Linked DNA regions of Danio rerio. The main gene of each other region encodes a partner of the protein of the gene in region 3 in a complex. Links are inferred from orthologs where the notes say so. Each region holds a gene or a part of one and is shown on either strand. Other genes may lie near its edges. The genes, in order: gigyf2, tars1 and eif4e2rs1.

Evidence for each region.
Region 1: the proteins of eif4e2rs1 (region 3) and gigyf2 are in contact, whole or in part, in a crystal structure (PDB 5NVM), measured with the Homo sapiens proteins. The link is inferred for Danio rerio from reciprocal best matches to the Homo sapiens genes EIF4E2 and GIGYF2. Residues at the interface, in NP_004837.1 of Homo sapiens: His54, Pro55, Leu56, Gln57, Tyr64, Arg66, Asn81, Lys83, Gln84, Ile85, Gly86, Thr87, Val91, Glu92, Phe94, Trp95, Arg96, Phe97, Ser99, His100, Met101, Val102, Leu107, Phe113, Glu149, Asn150, Leu153, Leu156, Gly157, Glu158; in NP_001096616.1 of Homo sapiens: Leu38, Ala39, Asp40, Tyr41, Arg42, Tyr43, Gly44, Arg45, Met48, Leu49, Leu51, Phe52, Leu53, Asn56, Lys57, Ile58, Pro59, Asp61, Leu62, Asp64, Glu66, Phe67, Pro69, Ile70, Leu71, Gln72.
Region 2: the proteins of eif4e2rs1 (region 3) and tars1 are in contact, whole or in part, in a crystal structure (PDB 5XLN), measured with the Homo sapiens proteins. The link is inferred for Danio rerio from reciprocal best matches to the Homo sapiens genes EIF4E2 and TARS1. Residues at the interface, in NP_004837.1 of Homo sapiens: His54, Pro55, Leu56, Gln57, Val91, Glu92, Phe94, Trp95, Arg96, Glu149, Asn150, Leu153, Leu156, Gly157, Glu158, Gln159, Met161, Val203; in NP_001245366.1 of Homo sapiens: Pro51, Glu52, Tyr53, Ile54, Tyr55, Thr56, Arg57, Met60, Tyr61, Ile63, Leu64, Glu67.

The regions. Positions count from the first base shown.
Region 1 is NC_133177.1:51,526,681-51,531,025, forward strand, and holds the start of gigyf2 (GRB10-interacting GYF protein 2), read right to left. Parts: upstream 2,893-4,345; 5' UTR 2,823-2,892; intron 1-2,822. UniProt on the Homo sapiens protein: Key component of the 4EHP-GYF2 complex, a multiprotein complex that acts as a repressor of translation initiation. In the 4EHP-GYF2 complex, acts as a factor that bridges EIF4E2 to ZFP36/TTP, linking translation repression with mRNA decay.
Region 2 is NC_133180.1:45,231,510-45,235,164, reverse strand, and holds part of tars1 (threonine--tRNA ligase 1, cytoplasmic), read right to left. Parts: intron 948-3,655; coding exon 785-947; intron 154-784; coding exon 16-153; exon of another isoform or gene 1-15. UniProt on the Homo sapiens protein: Catalyzes the attachment of threonine to tRNA(Thr) in a two-step reaction: threonine is first activated by ATP to form Thr-AMP and then transferred to the acceptor end of tRNA(Thr).
Region 3 is NC_133198.1:48,179,312-48,183,485, reverse strand, and holds the start of eif4e2rs1 (eukaryotic translation initiation factor 4E family member 2 related sequence 1), read right to left. Parts: upstream 2,866-4,174; 5' UTR 2,658-2,865; coding exon 2,641-2,657; intron 1-2,640. UniProt on the Homo sapiens protein: Recognizes and binds the 7-methylguanosine-containing mRNA cap during an early step in the initiation. Acts as a repressor of translation initiation.

The DNA.
Region 1 (4,345 bases), on a different chromosome or scaffold from region 3:
ACCAAGTCAAGGCCTTTGTTCTACTGGAAAATATTTTTACTTGACCAATCGAAAAAGAAAAGAAAAAAAAATCTTAACTATAATGTAATAAAACAAAGCAAACTCAAGTTTACATGCACTTTGTTTCCCAACATAAACTTCTTTATTAAAAATAAGTTTTAAAAACTATAATAAAAAATATTCACAACAGTCCTCACCAAGTAGCTATAAACACACCTTTTAACAAATGTTTATTGTAATTAAATCATACTCCGAGTTAATAATTGATTAAACTTTGAGAAGGATTTTGGTGATCTGTGTAAAGTATCTGCTCGATTGGTTAGTTTTACATGAACACAGAAAAATTAAGACTTTTTCAGATCTAAAACACAATATTTGAGGAAACTTGAGAGGTTTTAGCCCTAAAATTGTATTTTTGAAAGTTAACACATTAAGACTTCAATAACCCGTGGACACCCTGTTTTTTTCTGGAAGTCTAACAGTATTCAGGCTAGGGCTGGACCTATAAACAATATTATATAGAATTGCGATAAACTCTTTTAAAACAACAATGATAAGCTCTGGATTTTTTGACTCTATATTGATCTAAGAGCCAATTACACAGCAGAAAAGTGCAACAATGGGAATCTAAAAGTGTGTTGACATTAGAAATGTACCGAATTTTCAGCTACTAAATTTATTGGCCGAAAATATGTTAATATTTATTATGTTAATATTTTATTATGAAAATATGTTTAATTGACCTTCTAATTTTAGTGGCCTCAGTCATAGTTGGTGGACTCTTTTAAATCTGAAAGCAATTATAACTTATATCGGAATATAAATCGTTATCATTCAATATGGAAAATATTTATAGAGATTGCATTTTTGCCGTATCGCCCAGCCCTAATTCAGGCAGACAAATTGCATAATTAAACGTAAAACAAAAAAAAACACTATATAATATTTATTGCATATATACTATACATAAATACAATTAGTCATTCGAATTACTAAAATGTTCACTTCTTGAGCATGAATGGATTGAAATGGATACAGAGAGCTTAAAACACATGCAATAACACATACGTTTTGTAACTTTATGCTTAAACTTTGCAATTATTCCAAGATCAAGTGTGATTTTAAATCCTACTCTAATCCTGACTTGACACTGCATATCCTGCGATGAGACTAGTGCAAATGTGCACATTGCAATATCAATCCTGAAACCATATACTGTGAAGCTCTATCAGGTTCAATAATAAACACATAGAGAAACAAGTAAACCAGCATATTTTCAGCATATTTTAGAGGTGACCCCCATTTGTCTGGTACCTCACTATACACCCCTCCTGTGACGAGCTATTTTAAGAACTCTCCCAAATAGGAAGGGCGTTCTCAGACATCTGTGCAACCCGCGGCTTCCCTTGCCCACCATGCAGTACTACAACTAGCTTCTTCTGAACTTGATTTGAACTGATCACATGTTCATAATAGTCAAATACTGTCATCTCAGGAGACCTGTCAAACCAGACCCGTTTAACCCAAGGGGGAAAACAAGAAAGCTTGCCATTTTATTTTAGGTCTAATATATTCTAAATTTAGTGTGCACAGCCACAATGAGATGATGACATAAGCTCTATGCAAAACAAACAGGAGTGACTTGCTGACTTGCTGGGATTTAAACCACGTGTACAACTCAATGAAGCAATACGATCTAGATTACGCTTGCTTCCTACAACAAAAACCGACCAATCATGTTTTATATTAAAAATGTGGATCTTCATATATAATCTACTAGATCACACTAGGTCCCCAAAAGGCATGTTTAGCACAAGTATTTGTTTAAAACCAGTCAGGGCGGAAAATTCAACAGCTTAACACGGAACAAAAAGTCAATAAAGCTAGTTTAGCTTCAAAACAGATGGTCAACAGATTGCATCTTGCTGAGCAGTGAACATAAATCACCACGGTTTGGCATTTTGAGGATTGAAAATGCATAAAATTCGCGTTTTTACACATAACAAAAATCTTAATGATTAATTTTAGCTTTGAGAGACTTCACAGGTCAAACTAATAAGGAAAACTGTCAATATCAGACGAGACTTGATCAATAAAGAAGGCTAGTATATACGATCATGTGTAACTGATCTGAATGTGAATTTATCGTGTATTTATTTACACAAACCTCTAAAGCAAACACAGATAAATGTCACTTTAATATGCCAAAGATCACTGTCGGTCCATGCCTTCATACATACACCCTGCAAGCACTGCAGTCCACAATCAAACGTTTAGATCAAGACACACAAACAAATCGGTTTTAAGCATGTTTAGATGTATAAAGCACGACTGAATCGTTAACTAACGTTATAAATGCCATGTAACCGGCGATAGGGATGAGACATACTCGCCTGGCTATCGCCATGCATTTAACTTTCTGACTCCCAACTCCTACTAACTTTAAAAATTAGCCCACGCAACACCACGAAGTGGGCGAACTGTCAAATATTCCAGAAATAAATACTAGCACAATCACGAATACACATTGAACGGTGAGCGAAGTAAATGTATGAGTGAGTTGACACGAGTTTTAATCCTTGCGGCCTGTGCTTAGTTTTTAGCCACACCACGCTGCGCTACAGCCGCCTTCCTAAGGCTGATAGCATCATCACCGGCAGGCCGCTCAAATCGAGTCTGGCGCCTCGAGGCCTAACAACCATGCGGGCTAGATTAGCGACGCTACGCTAGGTCGTGGCAGGCCTATGAGACTTAGAGATAGCGTAGGAATAGTTACGTTTTATTTTAGAGCAAAACCATGTACGCCGGAGCCGCTGTCTTACCTCTGCTTTTACTGACAGTGCTGAGTTTGTGTGCGAGTGGCGTCTCTCGTTTCGTATCCACAAGATGGCTGAACGTGGGTCACATGACAACACGTAGGCTGAAAAGGGCCCGGATGTGAGCGAACGTGCTGACAGCAGCAGTTCCGTAGTGCATATTTACTACAGTGCACACAGACACTTCAAATAAATGCTATTTTAAAGATTTTAAAAGAGCTTGAATGGTTTATGGAACGTAGTTTTACAATGTAATGGTAATTAATTCGGCAAAGTTCATTAGAATTAGATAATAATTTGTATTCCAGGACACTCAAAAACTTTGAAAAATCACAAACAAAATAAGCTTAATCACTTATATATTTATACATCATTTTTCTAATATCAAAAAGGTTTAAATTATCAGAAAATTGTATTGTGTCATATCTGAAGAAATTCAAGTTGTTATTTAGGACTGTTTTTACAGCACATGTTCTGATATTTCTAATATTTTAATCTGTTACAGACATAATAATTACATTATTTAAATGAATATATAAACGAATGATCATTAAAAGCATCAACATGTTGGTGTTTATTAGAAGAAGTGAAAAGAGTCAAACATCAAAAGAGTTACACACCTCTAGCCCCCAAACCCTTAGCCTACTCCTTATCACCAAGATCTGAAACTAAGCAAAAGAGACATCTTGTTGTGTCACGCAAAAAAAGGTGTCATTCTGAGAATGGGTACATATAATATAGCACTTTAAAGAGTTTATCATGCGTGCGGGTAGAGCAGTGCCCTAGAAAGCGTCAAAACTAAAAAAGGAAACAATCTGTATTTCCTCTAAATTGAACTGTGATCCAATTTGTGTCCTTTACCAGTTTAACTGCGAATGAATACTTAATTTAAATCAATTACATTTTTATGAATTACATTTCAACAACTCTCCCGGGACAGCATGCCAAACAAGCTTTATAATTAATCATCAGCTAAGTGTGAACTCTCGAAACTGCTTTCGTATGATAAGACCATATAACAATCAGTCAGTTTATAAGCCTGTAATGTCACTTTACAAACAAAATTTAAAAGCAATGGATCAGAAAACAATAAAATAGCAGTAAAATAGTCAAATTCTTAAAAAATATATATATAACGTATTTTTTTTATTTTAATTGTAATTTTTTTTGTCATTGAACTTTTTTATTTTATTTTGAACTTTTATACCCCACACAACATGAAATTCACAATATAAAATGAACATTCAGGAAAAGAATGTAAACAAATTATAATAAAAATAATAGCAAAAAATATATAACAAATATAAAATATTTAATAAAACAATACAACAGACAGTCAAATTGACAACCCTTCAATTGTCCTTTTATATGCTCTCTAAATACTGTAAAAAGCTACCCCATTTCTGACTAAAAGTATTGGTGGAGTCCTGAAGTCTTGCCAACAGATGAGGTAGAAGTCATCAGCTCAATCCAATCCTTAAAAGAGGGAGTATCTGAGTTCCTCCAATTTCACAGCACCAGTCTCAAAG
Region 2 (3,655 bases), on a different chromosome or scaffold from region 3:
AGTAGTGAATTTTACCTTCTCAGCCTGATCCCACACTTCAGGTTCTCCTAGAAACTTCTCAGGCCTGGTGGAAAGGTTGAGTTTAAATGTGAAGCCAAACACATCATACACCGTACGCAGGAAGTCCAGACAACCTTTGATCTCAGACTCAATCTGACAGGGGTAAGAGGGGAACAAAGAATAAACTCCTGATTTCAGTTTAAACCAATTCATAAGCTCATAAAGCAAATGCCTTTAATGCACTAAAAAAGAAATGCAGGATTCTAAAACATTTAGATCGGTAAATAAAAATAATAATTATGGATCAAAGATAATTTAATGACATAATAATAAAAAAAAAAAAAATATATATATATATATATATATATATATATATATATATATATATATATATTTTTATATATATATATATATATATATATATATATATATATATATATATAAAAATATATATATATATATATATAAAAATATATAAATATAGATTTTTTTATTATATATAAAATTTAAATATTAATACATTATCATATCTGTTGTGCTGAATGTTGACAAAACATTATTTCGTCAGTATTTGACAAATTTTCAACAAGTTATCTAAAGAATAAAGTTGATGCTTTTATTGCATTGAATATCTTTCTCTGTATATAAAATCCTATTTGTACATTTGTACTTTTTTATTATTGCAAATGGTACAATTCATCTTTGCCCTAAATTCTTAGCATTTCAGTGTTAACACTGAAAACAACAAATGACAAAAAGCATTGTTCATTCAACAGTAAAACACCTGGTCCATCGAGCAGAAGATGTGAGCATCATCTTGTTGGAAGCGTCTGACTCTTGTCAGGCCAGTCAGAGCTCCAGACAACTCATTACGATGCAAAACCCCAAAATCAGCCAGACGCAGGGGAAGTTCCCTCCAAGAACGTGGCCGGTGGTCAAACATCAGACTAGAAAACAAAAAAACAACTCTGAGAAATCTTCTCCTTACCAAATCTTCTTTACCAAACATGTATAATTCAGCAACACTGTCCTGCCTTTTATACAAACAACAATATGTTAGTAAAGATTTGTTCGTTACGTTTGATGTCACATATCAGTTTTTAATTCAGAAAACTATATTCATTTGCCACAAGCAAATTATACTAATGTACAAGTATAATGTGTTGGAATACTACTGAAAATAATAATTTTAATATTATTTTATGCATACTGTAAGATGGTCAGAGTGATTCATATGTTAAGAATCATTAGAAAATTGTTTTAGGAGATACCACAACTCCAGATACTGTAGTTACACCATGAAAGATTACTTCAACGTGTGAATGTTATGAATAACACAGTGGTCGAAAATGGCTAAGGTGTGTCTGTGTCTGAAAGCTCTAAAATGCTGTCTTTTGATGCAGTATTCTAAAAGAAAGGTATCAAGAAATGTCTGAATCCAAATTCTGCTTCACATCCTTTCTCCGTAGATGCTATATTCTGATCATATTTTTAAGGCAGTCTATGGTTGTGTCAGAAACTGTCTACAACTCGAGTATGTACTACACGACCGATAGAAAAGTACATTCTATTAGAGCTGCTCGATTATGGGAAAAATCATAATCACGATTACTTTGTTCATAATTGTAATCACAATTATCAGATTATCAAAATTATTCGCCCTCCTGTGAATTTTTTTACATATAAATATTTCCCAAATTATGTTTAACAAAGGGATTTTTCACAGTATTTCCTATATTTCTTCTTCTAGAGAAAGGCTTATTTGTTATATTTTGGAAAGAATAAAAGCAGTTTTAAATATTTTGAAACCTATTTTAACAGCTCAATATTATTAGCCTTTTTAAGAAATATATAATTTTTGAGTGCAGAAAAAACTACTGTTATACAATGATTTGCCTACCCTAAATAAGTCTTTGAATGTCATTTTATGCTGAATAATAGTATCTTGAAAAATATCTAGTAAAACATAACGTGCTGTCAACATAGCAAAGATAAAAGAAATCATTTATTAGAAATGAGTTATTAAATCGGTTTTGTTTAAACTGTGCTTTAAGAATCTTCACTGTAAGAAAAAACACTTCAGCTACAAAAGTCATTCAGTCAAGAGCAGTGAAGGATTTTGTCCATTTGTTTTTTGATTATTAATAAAGACAGTTGGCCACAGAAATATTGCAAGCTGTCACTTTAAGAATAGTGCGGTTCTGATATGGTTTCTCTTTCACATGTCTTTTGATTCTCAACTTGTTTGTTTATTACACAAATGAGAGTTAATATGAATAATCCTTAAACACCTCTGACACAAATGTGCATGTATTTAACCATTAAAGCGCCGACATTAAGATGGCGTTAGATGTGTGTGCTCTGCTGTCCGAGACTAAGCGCGAGCCTGTCCGAGGCCATATCCGCGGCGTGCACACACACACACAACAGCTTTTAAAAATATGAACAATGCGCATCCCGTGCTGCAAAAGTTACATAACAGTACATGCTTTTAGTTATTTTCACATGGAACTGAGCTTTGCAGAGCAACAAATGTGTACAACTGAAAAGGGGGCCGTATATGATGGAATAATAGTTTATCTCGATTAATGATTTTTCATAATCGTTAGAAGCCAAAATCGAAATCGGATTTTCGATTAAATGCACAGCCCTAAATACTATATAATATAAATATGAGAAGTCTGAATGGAACTCGAACATACTACATCCACCATTTGTCATAATCACACAACCTACCCACCTCAGTTGCGTTGCTTAACTCCCATTCATGAATTATCTTGTGTGGAATTATGGCATAGCGTATAATCCATTGTAAGTACACTTCAGAATCTTGCGAATATAGAAAGTCATCATGCTTCTTGCCTACTGTTTTTCAAATTCTATGAATTTGATTATACTACTCATATCACATACTGTTTTTTACGTACTATATAGAAGGCAAGTATGCAATTTCAAACACAGCCTATGTGCACTTCACTGCCCTCGGTATTCCATAATCCTGTGCATTCCATTTGTAATATTTGAACTAAATAATAAAATAGACTCTCAAAGAGCCATTTTAGTCATTTTTGTAAATGTATGTTTTTAAAAAGTTATCAATTTTTTTATGAAATTTCGAGAAGTAACTATTGGGGTGAGCAAATATAACTTATAACTAGGGCTAGACAGAATCTGCAGATATTTTTTCCTGTTTCTGCATAGAATTTTGTAAAAAAAATCTGGATTTATGCGAAAAGGTTTTGGGAGTATCACAACTAAAAAAAATTTAAAATAAATTAATATATCAAATAAAAAAAAACTTCTTAACTTTTATTTAATGTTTACAATACAAATTCAATTAGATCCGCTTAATTGGTAAACAAAGCAAGTCTCACAAAGGCTAATAATAGATTTAAAAACACAGAAAATATTACTAAAACTATATTGTAAATAAATCATATGAAAATTTTCATATTAGCCAATAATATTACTGAAATTAATTTAAAAACTAATAAATATAATTTAACACACATTTACAAAAGTAAATGTATAGACTAAATGATGAATTAAAAATCTGCAGATTTCCACACGCGTAGATTCAGTGTGGGACTGCTTATAACCAAAGCTTTCTCATGTTAGTTGTATGTGATTAAATCATTACGCTGTCTCAAAAGTC
Region 3 (4,174 bases):
TTAAACCTTGTTCAGACTATCCATAAATATATTTAGAGATATCTCTAATTATATTTTGACTTGTCATAATTATAATTCGACTAGTCAGATTGGAAATATCTGCAAATATATTATGATAGACTAGTCATATTCCTCCATTGACTTCCATTGAAAAATATTTGCAGATATCTCTAAATAAGTTGACTAGTCACAATTGTAATTAGAGATATCTCCAAATGAATTTTGACTAGTCAAAAATCCAATTCAAGATATCTACAACTGTAATTAGACTTTTAGTAAATTAATTAGAGATATCTTCAAATATATTTGTAAATATCTCTAAATATGATGAATTAAAGATATCTCTAAATGTATTATGACTAGTAAAAACTCAGAGATATCAATTACAGTTGTTACTAGTCAAAATTCATCTGATTACGTATTAGTACAATTGTAATTGCAGATATGTCTAATTGTCATTCTGAGTAGTGGAATTATAATTATGACTAGTCAAAATATAATTAGAGATATCTCTAATATATTTATGGAGCCAGAACAAAGATTTAAATGCTAAAAAGGCTTGCCATAGAGAGCGCTTCTCACTAAACAGAGCACCGCGCAACCTTCTATGTAATGTATTATCACATGCACTAAAAGCATCCTAAAAGCATCAACACAGCCACATTCTGCCCCAGCAAGTCAGTTTCAAACATAAAAAAACAAACAAACAAACTTTGTGTCTTTTTGTGGCAGGCAGATGACAATAGCAGGGCTGTATCTTTTAGTATTATATAGAATACTTTTGTTCTGCCAGATCTCCCAGGCAGGGTTTTATTTAGATTTATTTAGTTAATATTAGTTTTTGGAATTCTGTCCATTGGAAAGAAGTTCTTTCAGAAGAAGAACAGTTTTTTGAAGTATTATTTGTTTTTATTCTGTCTATTCAGTGTCCTTCAACAAGAACGGTGGTGGTGGGGTTCATAATATTCACAATGGTATTTTATTAGTTGTTGGTTTAACCATGGATGAGATAATGGCTTCTATGTTATTTTCTTTTCAATGACATTTCTTATCACATGTTCAAAAACAACAGCCAATATTGCATATCTATAATTTATATAATGGGTATAATTAAACAATACTTTCACTATAACGTAAATTAGAAGTGTAATAGAAAAAATATATATTTTTGCGCCATTTTGAATTTCACTCGAATACAAATACAAATACAAATACTTTTCCCCCCTCAACAAATACAAATACAAATACAAATACCGGCTGCTCCGCACATCCCTAATATATATATATATATATATATATATATATATATATATATATATATATATATATATATATATGAGCAATTCCAGCATTATGGATGTGACATTTGCAGTAAAAACTCAACACATAAATTGACAGAGGAAGTATATGTTAACATTATATTGAAAAATTTGATTATATTTTCTAGAGCAACTAGCCACAGAGTTATGGGAGCAGAAAAATATCAATCTGTAAACATGTTTTGTACTTTAAATGTGGAAAATAAGCATGCGTTATGGGTGTGACAAAAAAAGTCTGCGAGTTTACAGTATACAACACACTTTGTAGAAATTATGTGAATTAAACTGCACAACCCAAAAGAAATAATGCTAATCAAAAGGATTTGAGTCGGCTCTCTATAAAACAAAAATGATTGGTTTTATTTTATTTAATATTTTCACATTTCTGAGGAAAAAGTGTTGTTATGCATGTGACATCTCTCTGTTATGGATGTGACGCATGTGAAATTACCATTTGTGTGACTTTGGTAAATCAAATAGTAATAGTTTGAAAACATTAACAGATGCTTTTTGAGTATTTTTAAAGTACAGTAAAATACTTGCCTACACAAAAAACCCAGAAATGGTTTCCGTATTTTGGTAAAAACTTAATTTTTTTTCATGGCAAGGTTGACATTTGCACAGAATTGCTCATATATATATATATATATATATATATATATATATATATATATATATATATATATATATATAATTTTGGAAAAGTATTTCTGCAAATTATAAATGGTAATATCATATTAGCAGCCAATGGCTATCGAAGTACAGCATTGTTTACAGTCAATAAATAGTGCTAATGTTGTTTTAAATTCATAATTTTAGGTAGAATATTCAAATTACCATGGTAAACAGGAATTATGTTAAAAATATATATGGAAATATAGGGTGCATGTAACAAATTGACACTGAATGAATGTCAGAAATAAAACCAACTTTACCTCAATTGTGTGTTGTGTATATAAACATACACATAATAAATAAAATAATGTACATAATAGATAAATAAAGGTACATATTTGTTTATTTTACTTGTGTTTAAAATGAAGATGAATCTAAATCTACTGTTAAACAGTGCACTAAATCAAAGCAAATACTGTATATAAACGTGTGTTCCACATACACATATAAACAATTCCACACATTAATATTACTGTAACACATTAAATAAATGTATCGTTATTAAACTAAAGACATACACACCACACGTTAATCTTTATATAATGTTAATAAACCCGTGAGTCTTGTTGAATGTATCTGCTTTATGTTTGTAATAGCTGAAGTTAAATGTTTAATGGAGAATATTAGCCGTTAGCCGCTAACTTACTGTTCAAACTGATTCATTCCGCGTTGTCGTTCCTGCTTCTTCTTTCAACGTAAACCTCGATATATAAATACGCTTTATAACTTTTGGAATAATTACTGTTATGTTAAACTATTAGATGTTAGTGTGTTTAATTCAACGGGCAGAGAATAAACTATACTACATGCTACACTGAAGCCAACCACGGTCACTGCGCATGTGCGGACGGCAATCGAGAAACGACAAAAAGCACAAACCGCGGAAGACTCGCTTAAAGAGTACACAAACATGTTGATTAAACACAACAAAACGTTGAAATAATCAACGGCAAACAAAACATTATGATAACAGCGTGGTCGAAGCATACAAATCTTTAAAAACAAATCAATTAAATCCGTCCGATTTGCTGGTTTGAGCTAAAATATACAAAATGCTAAGTCTTGTTTACAGTAACTCAGTGCTCAGACAAAAAAAGCCTTATAGCAGGCCGTAGCCAGTCTTGTGAAAGGGTGGTTCTTTTTTTTTTCTAAAAAATGTGGACTTTTGTTGCAGTCATTCACCTCATTTTCTATTTAAATACTTCAATAAGAGGCATTTTAAGCACTATTTTAGTTGGATTAGCTTGTTCATCTAACAACAACCTATTAGTATACACAGCAAGAGTCAGTCTAAAGGCACTCGAAAAATGTGGGGAAAATAATAAAGCCTTTACTCACATGACTATTTCCTAAAACTGCACCTACACGTTTTGATAACCCTTTACTTCATCAGGGTAACCTGATCACAGTTTTAAGTCACAGCCATGTCAATAAAGGCCTGTTACTATTTTTTCCACATTTTTAAGTGCCTTGGACTGATTTTGATGTTTATTCTGATGAATCCCTTACACAAAGAGCACTGACACATTATTTAAGCTACCCCTGAAAACTTTTAGTTTGATTTTGGAGATTTACACAGCCTAGTTAGTGTTAAACTTAACTTTAATAGGCTACTTTTGGTGCTTCAGACCTTATATTAGTTATTTCTATCTCTCAAGAATAAGGTTAAGATTTTAAACAAAAGTCAGGCTACTTGTAAAATTTTTTTTTTTACAAAAGTCGGTCAATAGTAAAAGTTGACTTCACTTAAATATTGTGCATTTTCTTAAAACCTTCAATGATTTATTTACACAGTTTATCATGACATGTCAAAATAGGTCAAATGAGAATATAGTGGCAACTAGATGTAGACATAAATAACTTTATATAATTAAAACAATATCTACAAACTGCTTAACTAAAGACGAAACAGTATAAGTTAAACACTTACTATAGTAAAGTAATTAATCTGTTGTGGTGATTATGGTAACACAACAACTATAGTAATATAAACAATTGACCCAACCCACATAGCAAAATTTCTCTGGCCCAGCTCTGGCCCACACAATCAGGTTTTGCTTGGCCCACATGCCGCAGTGAATTACGGTACATGACTGGACCAAATCTGGCTTCCAGACAAGGGCCAAACACGGACCATATCTGGGCCAAGTCTCAGCCAAGTTAATAACTCATAACTGGGC